3 linked regions of the Ovis aries genome follow. The protein of the gene in region 1 purifies or fractionates together with the protein of each later gene. This does not show direct contact. Links are inferred from orthologs where the notes say so. Each region holds a gene or a part of one and is shown on either strand. Other genes may lie near its edges.

Evidence for each region. Proteins that work in one complex are often made in the same cells at the same time.
Region 2: the proteins of BTK (region 1) and BLNK purify together in Homo sapiens (affinity purification with western blotting; 5 studies listed by BioGRID and IntAct, with this or other methods). This does not show direct contact. The link is inferred for Ovis aries from reciprocal best matches to the Homo sapiens genes BTK and BLNK.
Region 3: the proteins of BTK (region 1) and ANKRD54 purify together in Homo sapiens (affinity purification with mass spectrometry; 4 studies listed by BioGRID and IntAct, counting the BioPlex papers as one, with this or other methods). This does not show direct contact. The link is inferred for Ovis aries from reciprocal best matches to the Homo sapiens genes BTK and ANKRD54.

The regions. Positions count from the first base shown.
Region 1 is NC_056080.1:133,057,000-133,061,124, forward strand, and holds the start of BTK (tyrosine-protein kinase BTK), read right to left. Parts: upstream 2,801-4,125; 5' UTR 2,670-2,800; intron 1-2,669. UniProt on the Homo sapiens protein: Non-receptor tyrosine kinase indispensable for B lymphocyte development, differentiation and signaling. Binding of antigen to the B-cell antigen receptor (BCR) triggers signaling that ultimately leads to B-cell activation.
Region 2 is NC_056075.1:17,382,649-17,386,148, forward strand, and holds part of BLNK (B-cell linker protein), read right to left. Parts: intron 2,840-3,500; coding exon 2,676-2,839; intron 1-2,675. UniProt on the Homo sapiens protein: Functions as a central linker protein, downstream of the B-cell receptor (BCR), bridging the SYK kinase to a multitude of signaling pathways and regulating biological outcomes of B-cell function and development.
Region 3 is NC_056056.1:215,473,094-215,476,593, forward strand, and holds part of ANKRD54 (ankyrin repeat domain-containing protein 54), read right to left. Parts: intron 2,875-3,500; coding exon 2,776-2,874; intron 2,090-2,775; coding exon 2,018-2,089; intron 1,541-2,017; coding exon 1,493-1,540; intron 1,421-1,492; coding exon 1,296-1,420; intron 1,137-1,295; coding exon 1,029-1,136; intron 712-1,028; coding exon 637-711; 3' UTR 1-636. UniProt on the Homo sapiens protein: Plays an important role in regulating intracellular signaling events associated with erythroid terminal differentiation.

The DNA.
Region 1 (4,125 bases):
TGTGTTTTTCTGACTATATTTGAGATCATATTGCACCTAATATTTAGAGTTTGCTTATTTTTCTTATTCTTATACTTAGATACTTATTACCTAAGTATCCTTCCTTCACCCAACATACGTTGTCCACAAAATATCTAAAGTTCTTGTTTAACATTATTTCAGATGTTTTCCCTTGTTGTTAGGATCTCTATATAAACATCATATGCTGAGTCAAAAAGTTTGTGCCTTTTGCATTTTGAAATATATTGACAAAATAGTTTCCAGAAACACTGTAACTGATTTCCACTCCAAATAGCAGTTTTGGAGAACCTGTTTTTCCATACTTTTGTCTCTTTTCTGCTCCACTTCTAATCAGTTTCTTTTTATTCTGTTTCTATTACAGATAAATACGTAGGAAGGAGTTAATAGACTATAATTCATTTTCATTTTGGGGATGTAAGGCAGCGAGAATAGCTTCTTCTGAAAGTTCAGCTAACTGATGTTAACCCTAAGGGGATGTGGTAATTGCTCACAGAGAGGGAGGTGGAAAGCCTGGGATTAAGGCTTTTGCTTTTCAAATGCTCTCCCAACACCCTCAGCCAGTGCACAAGAACCTCCAGAGAAACCGAAAGTCACACGTGGCCCATTTGTTTCAGGGTCCTCAGAGCATTTCTCTCTCCCCCTCCCCCTGATGGCTTCATTTGCATAACCCAGCAGTTTTGGAGTGAATTAGGTCAAGGTCTGTCTCTAACTTCTTACTGAGCACTGCCTTCCTGAAAATTCTATGTCACTCTTATTCCGAAGGCCTAGCCATCGGATATCGGCATGGCATCCACGGGCAAAAAGCAGCAAGTGTCTGATGACTCTTTGGAGAACATTCAGACTGGTTTTCAAAAGCCATGTCTTCCCCTTATACCTAAGTCACTTCCTGGTATGGGTCTAGTCCGCTGAAAGGAAACTCTCTATAGGAAATTTGCTCAAATGGAAATAGTAGATCATACTGATGATAATTTTAAATTGCACCCAGACCCTAGAAGTGGATGGAAAGTTGCACTAGTTCTCACCATGAGGAGTTTACAAAAGATTCTAAACAAACACATCGCTAGCCATAAGCTACAGGAATTTGGACTTGAAGGCAAGTAGACAGTTTAAGTTGTCTGAAGGGATCAGAATAGACCAGATAGGGCTAACGCTAAGGGATTCCAGTTCAGTAGAACGCTTTAGATTATTTAGGGTATTTGCATCTTGTGGCTTATTTGGTAGGTGACATTTTTAATCAAATAATTGAGGCTCCAAGAGGCCGTAGCACCCTTGGTCAGGGGCTTGGCATGCAAAAGGAGGGAAGGAGCAGAAGCAGCATGTAACTAACAGCACAGAAGATAACCCCTGAGCTGTAGAGCCCTGCCTCTGGGCTTTGCTGCTGCCCTACCTTCGGAAACAGACAACATGAGACAGAGATGTGGAGCTTGGAGAGCAGGGTGACCGGGAAACTGGACTGGAATTCCATTTGGCCCGCACTCACCCAAGGATGTCTTGGTCAGAGCCAGCAATCCTTTTTATTCTAGACGCCACATATTTGTTCTAGGCAGGCCTTTTGGGGACCTTGACAGGTCTCAGGCAGAATACAAATAATAGCAAACACTGAGATAGGCACACTGACTATTGCTGGGCCCCATTTTAACTACTTTACATAGGACACACACCACTCACGACAATCCTATGGGGAAGGCACTAGGCAAGTAGGGGGAAAGGGCAAAGGGAAAACAGCAGGGGAAGAAAGGGGCAAGAAGAATTCACTGAGATTCCCCACGAATTTATTAAGCATTGGCTCTGTTCCGGGGTGGTAATGAACAAAATCAAGGAGGGGATAAAGAAGAGGGGATACAGGTAGAGAAAGGACAAGGAGGAAAAGGAGGAAAAGGGAGAGACAGATGGAGAGGAGAGGAAAGGAGAGAAGCAAATGATGGAGCCTAGAAAAGAAGAGAGCCATGCACATGGCAGGCAATGGTAATAGGAAAAAGCTTCCCCGTGACCTCAGGGGTTGGCCGCACTGTCTGGGCCTCGAGGCCGAGGCTGACTTCTGGCCCGATCTCTTACCCACTGTTACCACGAGGTTGGCATGCACAGTCCTTCCAACAAGGCAGCTCTGATCCCAGCAGTACTGGCCCAATGCAGCCAGAGGCTTTCCACTCTGGTTGAGCCTTTCCGTAGCTTACAGAGCTCAAAAGCATATGCGTTTTGACCAATTTTTTTAGACAATCTGCCTCTTAAAAATTTCTTTTTCCTAAGGTCTCATTGACACACGGATCCATTTGGGGTCTTCTGGCAATATTACCCAAACAGTTAATTTTTATCCTGGCTTATTTAGCCATGGGCATGAAAGCTTACTTTTCTGCCAAATTGTGCAGAGTTGCCTCTTTCCAACATCTGCTACCTGTTCAGATGGTCACCTTATGTCACTTTTTTTTTCTTGTCTCCACCCAACTATGACCTCCCCAGAAAGGACCCTTCCAGCCTCTTCTGATTATCAGAAGGGACTACCAGGGCCTTAGGCGATGACACTCCCACCCTCCATCTGCCTCCTCCTGCCTCAGACTACATGGCACCAGCCACGCTTTCTCTCTGACCTTCAAGGTCCTAGGAAAGGCAGTTACTGCTGCTGTCCAGCCCTTGCCATGCCCCGGACCCACCTCAGTTCTGACTTTAATGCAGGCAGCTCCCCGGATGCATTGAGATGCCGGGACTTGGAAGTCGGGACTCGATGTCAGAAGACACTGGCCCTGGAGACATATTCTTACAGTCCAGAGAGGAAGGACAGTCTGAGCAAACCCCACCCTTTCACAGCCACTCAGTTCCCTTTTTTTGTTTCCTGACTTAAACCAATGTCTTTTTTTTTCTTCTTCTCAGCAGCATGGTATCTGGTTCCCTGCTGCTGTCCTTATTCCACCACCCCCCCACCCGCCCAGCAGTCCCCGCCCTTCATTTGCTTGGGACCTCTGACAGTACTAGTTGAGTCTGCTCTGAAAGAACTCTTCTCTATTTGACTGGGGCCACTGAGACTCTAGACCAGGCTGGGTTGAGCAGACACGTCCTCAGGCTAACCTCCCCAACGTAAAGGGACGACATCGCTAAAGGATCATTGGGATGGTCAACACAGGGAGCGGAGACTTCCAGAAAAGAGGAGAAATGCAGATCTGTGGAGACAAAACAAAGGGACTGGCAAGGGAGTGTGTCTTTAGCGTCTCATGTCCTCTAAGGCAGAGACTTGAGGCCACACAGTTAAACTTGACAATGAAGGATGGAGACTATTGATGAAGGGACCCCAAAGTACAGATCCTGACAGAGGTAGAGACAAGACTTCCCCCTGCTGAGTCATTTTCTAAGAAAGCATTTTTTTTTCTACAGATAAAAATGTCTGAGTGTAAGCCCACACACTGACATGTGTCCTTCCCATTTTTTGTGGATGTTGATTTTCTCCATTTTAGATTCTGCCTCGGGGATTAACTCTTCATTTACAACTTTCTCTTTCGTCTCAAAAAAGATGACTAGATGTGTTGTTTGAAGCCTGAATGTTTCCTCAGCCACCTTCTAGCTCACGTTCTAGCAGAGATCGTCTCCAGGAGGGCTCTCCTAGGACATGCAGATAGTACTGGCTATAGACCATGATGGCCACAGCCCTGGGTAACTGATCTGCTTGCCCATCTTGACACATCAGCCACTGCCATATTTACTTGTCCTAGGCACCATATGTGGGGCTTCCCTGGTAGCTCAGCGGGTAAAGAATCTGCCTGCAATGTAGGAGACCTGGGTTAGATCCCTGGGTTGGGAAGATCTCCTGGAGGAGGGCATGGCAACCCACTACAGTATCCTTGCCTGGAGAATCCCCATGGATGGAGGAGGCTGCTGGGCCATGTGGTTGCAAAGAGTTAGACATGACTGAGTGACTAAGCACAGCACAGCACAGGTGCTATATGCAGAAACAGATCATAAATCCCACTAGAAGTCTGTCAGAATTTTTAAGGGAACAAGACATTTTTCAAAAATATTTGTAGGCTAGTTGACTAGTTAATCCTCAGATCCATACAAGATAAAGGGGCAGCCAGTGTTGCATGATCTATTTTTGTTGACAATTTTTATCCTTTCACT
Region 2 (3,500 bases), on another chromosome or scaffold:
GGGTTGCTCTGAGGGTGTGATGAGATAATACACACAGAGGGCTCAGATCACCAGCCGATACACAGTGCTTGTCAAGTGCTAGACCCTCCTGTCATTACAGGGCAGTTGCTCCTCCACCCCTCGCCCCAACTCTCTGCTCAGCCTGTAACCCATATTTTGCCTGTAACCTGTATGGCAGAGCTACACACTTTTATTTGTGCTTGTATTTGACTTCTTCCTTTCCTATCTAATGTCTTGGCCAGATCTTAATGTTGTCTTCTATTTCTTTTTTAACTCTTCCTCATCTTGATTGTCCATCTCCTCATTCCAGAATGTATCTCCTCCAGTCGTCCCCTTTCCCCGCTGGTTCAGACTTGCCTGAGCCACCACCAAAAAGCTGTTATTAGCAAAACTCGGCCTATCCCCACTGGGGTCCACCTGCAGTTATTCACAGAAATGGAGAGCCTCACGTAACTCACAGTCTTCATTTGTATTCTGTGTCTGAGTTGGTATCTTCCTATAGACCCTCTGAATGCTGGAAGAATTCACAGTGAGACCCTAACCGATGGTCTCCCTACCGTGTCCCATGCTCAGATTCTCCTTGCCACCTGTTCACACCCTGAAAGGGCATCATCCCCTCGGACTGACAGACAGACTGAGGATTGACAAACCAAATTCATTCTCAGTCTGCTGACCTCCTGACTTAAACTGTCCCTGGAGAGGGGGCTCATAAGCTCAAGTGCTTACAGGCAGGCACGGAATAGCAACTGGGCGTGTGCAGAGTCAGGCTGTGTCCACGCCTTGTGTCAGTGGTGAAGATGATGACAAACGGAAACAGGGGCCGGGGATTCTCAGCTGAGCTGGAAGGGTGCCATGAGGCTCAGCTGCTTCGAGGCCATGACTGGCCATGTGTTGACAGGCCCTTGGTTTTCAGGAGAAACTAGAAAAGTAGATTTTATAAAGAATCTAGAATATGGTAGAAAGGAATCCAGTTTATGCAATACATAGAATGTTTCTTTGTGTGAGACACTGAATTAAGTATTTATATTCCTTTCTTAAATCTTTAAAGGAACCTGAAGAGATGAAAAGATGAGACTCAGAGAGATTATCTGATACCTGCTGCTGCTGCTGCTGCTGCTAAGTCGCTTCAGTCATGTCCAACTCTGTGCGACCCCATAGACAGCAGCCCACTGGGCTCCTCCGTCCCTGGGATTCTCCAGGCAAGAATACTGGAGTGGGTTGCCATTTCCTTCTCCAATGCATGAAAGTGAAAGTGAAGTCGCTCAGTCGTGTCCAACCCTCAGCGACCCCATGGACTGTAGCCTTCCAGGCTCCTCCATCCATGGAATTTTCCAGGCAAGAGTACTGGAGTGGGTTGCCATTGCCTTCTCCATCTGATACCTAAAGTCACACAACTAGTAAATGTGAAGTGGGAATTTGGGCCTGGATGCTGCCTCTATTTTATTTTAAAAGTCTCTCTTTTATGTCTCCTGTTGGGCTACAAATTATGCTAAGGTGGAAAAGAAGGTCATTTCACAGCATGTTTGTAAGCTATAGGTTTTATCACCCATAGGCATTTAGAAACAGTTGCTTCTTCAAGAAGCTGCGGTACCATTATGTCTGGTGATGGTTAAGAGTTGCCTTTAATGTTGTTTTCTTTCTTAGCCTGTTGCACTTGTGTATTCAGTCGCTCAGTCATGTACGACTCTTTGCGACTTCATGGACTGTAGCCCGCTAGGCTCCTCCGTCCATGGGATTTCCCAGGCAAGAATCCGGGAGCGAGTTGCCATTTCCTACTCCAGGGGATCTTCCTGACCCAGGGATCAGACCCACATCTCCTGCATTGGCAGGCGAATTCTTTACCACTGAGCCACCTGGGAAGCCCATTGCACTTGTACAAATGTTCTAAAGGCTAAGTTTGAGGGCTTGTCTTTGACTTTCTTTAAATGCAGTACTTCTGGGAGCCATAACGTATTAGGCTTTATCAGTCATTCTTACAATAGTCCGAATAAGTTCACCCATTCATTTTTTAAAATTTCATAGGGAATAAGACATGAAAAATTTAGGTGCTGGCAGAAGGGATATTGGTAAGATAAACCTAGAAATGGGTCCCAGACAGTTGGCAAAGGAGGTTCCTGGATACCTGGGGCTGGGGAGAGAGAGAGAGAAGCAAGAGATGCCGAAGGAAGTGCGGGGTCAGTTCTTCCACGGGTTGTGCAGGGTCTCCATACAGACAGGGGGTCTCCAGTATACATCCTGTTGCACCCCTCTGCAGCTTAGAGGATCAGAGAGAAAAGAAAGTGGGGGAAAGAACATGAGGCAGGACAGGGAGAGAAGCATGGGAGGATAAAGGTGGGGAAGTATCTTATGGAGGAATGAGAGATTTGCAGGAAACGGAGGGATAAGAAAGAGGAAATAGTGAGAGGGGCACAAATCCAGGTTGGATATTACATCATATACCTGATTAGTACATGAAAGTGCTTAAATAAGGCCATATGTGACATTTTAAGAGAAAACATCCTTTCAGCAGGACAGTGGAGAGTTTCAGGGCAGGTGGTTAGGGCCGGTCAGAGACCCAAGCCTGGAGGAAGGAAGACACATCTGAGGCTACACTGTCCTGCCCCTCCCCTCATCTGGCCCCTGCGTCCAGCCTTCCCCGTGGTCTGGGCAGCCTTCCCCGGACAGATTTACTTTACCTCATCCTCAAGGATCTCTTTGGGTTTGGGTGGGACTTGAGGTTTATGCAGTGAAGTGTTGGCCGGCAGAGAGGTGGCCAGTCTCGCTTTTGCCGAAGGCCAGTTGGGTTTACTGGGAAGAGTCTTGCTGAAGGGTGGAGACTGCCTCTGGCTTGATCGGTTGTCTTGAGAGGAACAGCAAGAACAACAAAACATAAGATGAAAGGGTTCTGGATCATTTCTTGGGCAGAAGCCACCGAGTTCTAGAAAGTAGAAAACTACCAGCATCCATGTAGCCAACATGCTCTTGACTGGGGCATTCCTTTAAAAAGTATGACAGGCAACAATTTCAACAACCCATTGACCTACATTATAAAAACCAGAACAGTATCCTCCCAGGGAGCCATGAAACCCACAGACCCAGGAGAGCTGATAGTCCAAGCATGCGGCTAAATAGAGTAGATGGTGACCTTGGCAGTGTCGGGGGCTAAGGGGAGCAGTAATCCTCAGTGGGTTCACTTTGCTCCCTGAAGCCTTAAGTGTGATGATTCTCAATCCTGCTTACACATAGGAGCCACCTGTGAAAGTGAATGTGTTAGTTGCTAAGTCATGTCTGACTCTTTGTAACTCCATGGACTCTATCTGCCAGGCTCCTCCATCCATAGAATTTTTCCAGACAAGAATACTGGAGTGGATTGCCATTTCCTTCTCCGGGGGACCTTCCTGACTCAGGAATCCAACCTGGGTCTCCCACATTGCAGGCAGACTCTTTACCATATGAGCTACAAGGGAAGCCCCTAGGAACCACCTAGGAGCTTTAAAAAAAATGCCAAGGCCCCACCGCAA
Region 3 (3,500 bases), on another chromosome or scaffold:
CAGAAAGGTTACTCCCTCCCGGTGTTTCAGTGATTGGGGAAAAAAGGGCCAGGGATTTTCTGCTTTGGGTTCAGCAAGGTCCTCCCTAACCTTGTATTTCTAAGGTCTAGGCTTCACCACCCCCCTGGCCCCTTCCAAACCAAACAAAGTAGCTGCCATGTCTCCTTGCAAGTCTGGTGACAAGCCTGATCTAAGTGCTGGTGAGAGGTGCAGGGCCAGCCAAGAAGCCCCCTAGGCCAGAGGGTGCCTGCCCTAAGCCCACCCGGCTGGCTGCAACAAGCCCACGGCCGGGAGGGGACTCAGAGGAGGGTCTGGGGCCTGCTGAGGGCACCAGGGAGGCTGTGGGATGAGCGAGGCCTGTGAGGAGAGCGCGTGTCAAGTCAGCCAGGGCAGAGGCATGGCTGTGCTGCTGCGGGAGCCAAAGGAAGAAGCTGGGGGCTGTGGTCTCGGCCCATGGACACGACAGACTGCGGCTGTGAGTGGCGCTGAGGTCAGTGAGAGAACGCCTCTGCCTCCCAGCAGCTGGGATGAGGCCTCGGCAGACGGGGTCCCAGGTGCCAGGCCTTTTCTTTGTAGCAAGAGGGCAGCGGGCGGGGCGGGGCGGGCAGCAGGAGGGACGGCAGGGAGCGGCTCTCGCTACCTCTTCTCCATGTTCTGCATCTGCAAGCTGAGGGAGGTGAAGCTGGCCAGCAGGTCGGTCACTTCGTCCACCTGCGGGAGGAAACCAAGGCTCTGTGGTGGGGTGCCCCGGGTCTCCCCCGACAGCACCACAGGTGCAGAGGCAGGCACTGTCTCTTCTCACAGGGCCTGTGAGGGCTTCACCCTGGACTATGGAGCAGCTGTCCAAGGGTGAATCCTCGCTGCCCCAGAGAGAAGGACTCAGGCTGCTTCCAAGGAGGTGGACAGAGGCTTTGAGGCCCACAGACGACGGCAACCAGCAGCCATGCCTCTCTCTCCAGCCTCAGAGTGGCGACCAGCTCACCCTGAAGCTCCTGCCAGGCTGGGGTTTGGACCGCAGCCGCGCTCACCTGCTCGCGGGTGCTCGTCATCTGGAGGCGGGTGCAGAGGTCATCTAGCCGCTCCCGCTGCTCATGCCGCCCTAGGCGCTCCAGGTACTCCCTCAGCATCTGGATGATCTGAAACCAGAGGGCAGGCTGAGGCTGTGCCCACAGGCACAGAGCAGCCAGAGGCTGCTGCCCAGGGGTGCGCTGGACCAGGTGTCAGCTGGGGTCCACATGAACCATGAATGAAGTCACCTGCTCAGTGCTGCAGGCTCAGCCGAGTGGGGCGCTCACCTGCTTCACCTCCAGCCGCACAGCATCCAGGCATTGCGAGTGGCCTTCCTGCAGGATGTTGAGCTTGGACTTAGCCAGGTGCAGGGGTGTGCGGCCTGCTCGGTCCAGGGCGTCCACCCGGGCCCCTGGGGGGACAGGCAGCGGTGAGCATGCTGAGCAGGGGGAGGAGGAGGAAGGACGGGGAGGGGAGCACTCACCTCCTCGCAGCAGCGTGGTGATGACGGGGGCGTGGTTGGTGCAGGCCGCTGAGGAAGGAGAACAGGGACTGAGAGCTCAGGACCGCAGGGGGCTTGGCCCTGGGTGCCCGCGGGAGGGAGCAGGACTGTGTCTCTCAGGGTTCCGGTGCCAGATCAAGCCCCAAGAGGCATCACTGAGGCAGCAACTGGGGGGATTCAGCGATCAAACCCAACTCCCTCCCTACACAGCTGGGGAAACTGAGGCTGGGAGGTGGGACCCGCCTCGCCACAAGCCATGGTGAGAGTTGGCCACAGGGCAGGAACCTCCCCTGGCAGAGCTGCTGAGCCAGTTCAGGTTGTGAAATCAGCCCTGCTTGGGGCACAGTCGACCAATAGTGGATGGGGTCAGCCACGGACACAGCCCAAGGGGAGTGTGGCCCTGGGGACTCAGGCTTTCCCCAGGGGACAGGAGAGCCTGCTGGGGGCCTGCAGGACGCCGGGCTCTCCATCAAAGGAGCCTGTCTTGGCAGCTTGCCAGGCACTCACCCAGGTGCAGTGGCGTGTTCCCCAGCCCATCTCGCTGGTTGGGGTCGGCTCCGTGGTCCAGAAGCAGCTGCACTGGAAACAGGAAAGCCCCAGAGGAGCCGCTGGGGGCGTCTACTGACAGCATCCTAGCCTCCACCCCTCTACGGAACACTGAGAGCCAGTACACTGCCCTGTGCAGCTTCACTCCCTTGCCCACTCGTGAGGCCTGTGTGCATGACGCTGGGCACTGTGAACTAAGGCTTCTGGGAGGGTCCCTGAGCCCGTGCAGGTATTATGGGACTGAGATTTTAGGGTTAAAGAAAGTTCTCCCAACAGCTGTGGCTGCTAGTGAAGGTTCTTAAGGGGCATAAGACAGAATGCTGGGCACTGAAAAGATTCTATATTTTGATCCAGGAGGTGGACACAGCAGTGTATGTATACAGAGACTTCACTGTTTGCCAGTTATACCACATCCTAAAAAGACCTCTGGGGGGAAAAAAAAATTGGGTTTGGGGGCGGGCTGTCCCACTGCTGCCCTTAGCACTGAGTAAATGTTGCCTGCATGTCTGGAAGGTCCGGTCCAACCTTGGGGTCGATCTCGTTCTTTCCCCAGGTGAGCCCCACCTTAGCCTGGCAGTGCCAGTTCCACAGGCCAGAGGCGTGGGAGGGCCCAGCCTTCCTCAGCTCCAGCAGCCCCCCACCCTCTGTGTGCTGTTCCCCAGTGCCTCTGGGGGGAGAATACTCGCCCAGCCCCTCTCCCCTACCTCCCCAGGACTCACCAATCTGGTCGTTGCCATTGCAGGAGGCAAAGTGCAGGGCAGTGCGGCCCTTGTCGTCAGCTGCACAGGGGTCTGCGCCATCCTCCAGGAGCTGCTGCACTGGCACCGCCAAGGCAGAGGGAGCAAGCAGGGAGAGTGGCGGCTTAGCCAAGCTGCAGCCCTGGGGGTGGGCAAGGGTGCTTAGGGCCCCTTCCAGCAAGGCATCCATAATGTGTGGGAGAGCTAGTCCCTCCAGGATGCAGCCCCCCCTGGGGGACTTGTTCTCCTGAGGGCACAACTGAGCACCACGGGTGCTGGGTGCTCAAGTATGTGTCTTGGGACAGAGCATCACAGAAGGATCTCGGCCCTCAGGGTCAGGAATTCTGGAGTCATGGAAATCCCCAGTACTGATTTTGGTCCTGCCCCTTTACCTGAGTCTGGCTACACATCCATCCAACTGGGACACGTCTGTGGGCTGACACTCACTTAGCTCCCATGAGGCAGCCCTTTAGAGTGGACAGAGCCTGGGCTCTGCCATGCAGTCCAAGTCCTAGACTGAGCTGAGCAAAAAGGAAAGGAGTTCATTGCCAACAGCGTGCAGCAGTGGGAAAAGCTGGGCTGGGACCAGGAAGGCCAAGATTTGGGCCCCCATTCACCAGCAAATGGGAGTAATTTCTGCCCAGTCAACTTCTAGAGCTGCCATGATGAGAATAATGGATATGAAAGTCCTTTTCTGAAAAGTCTGG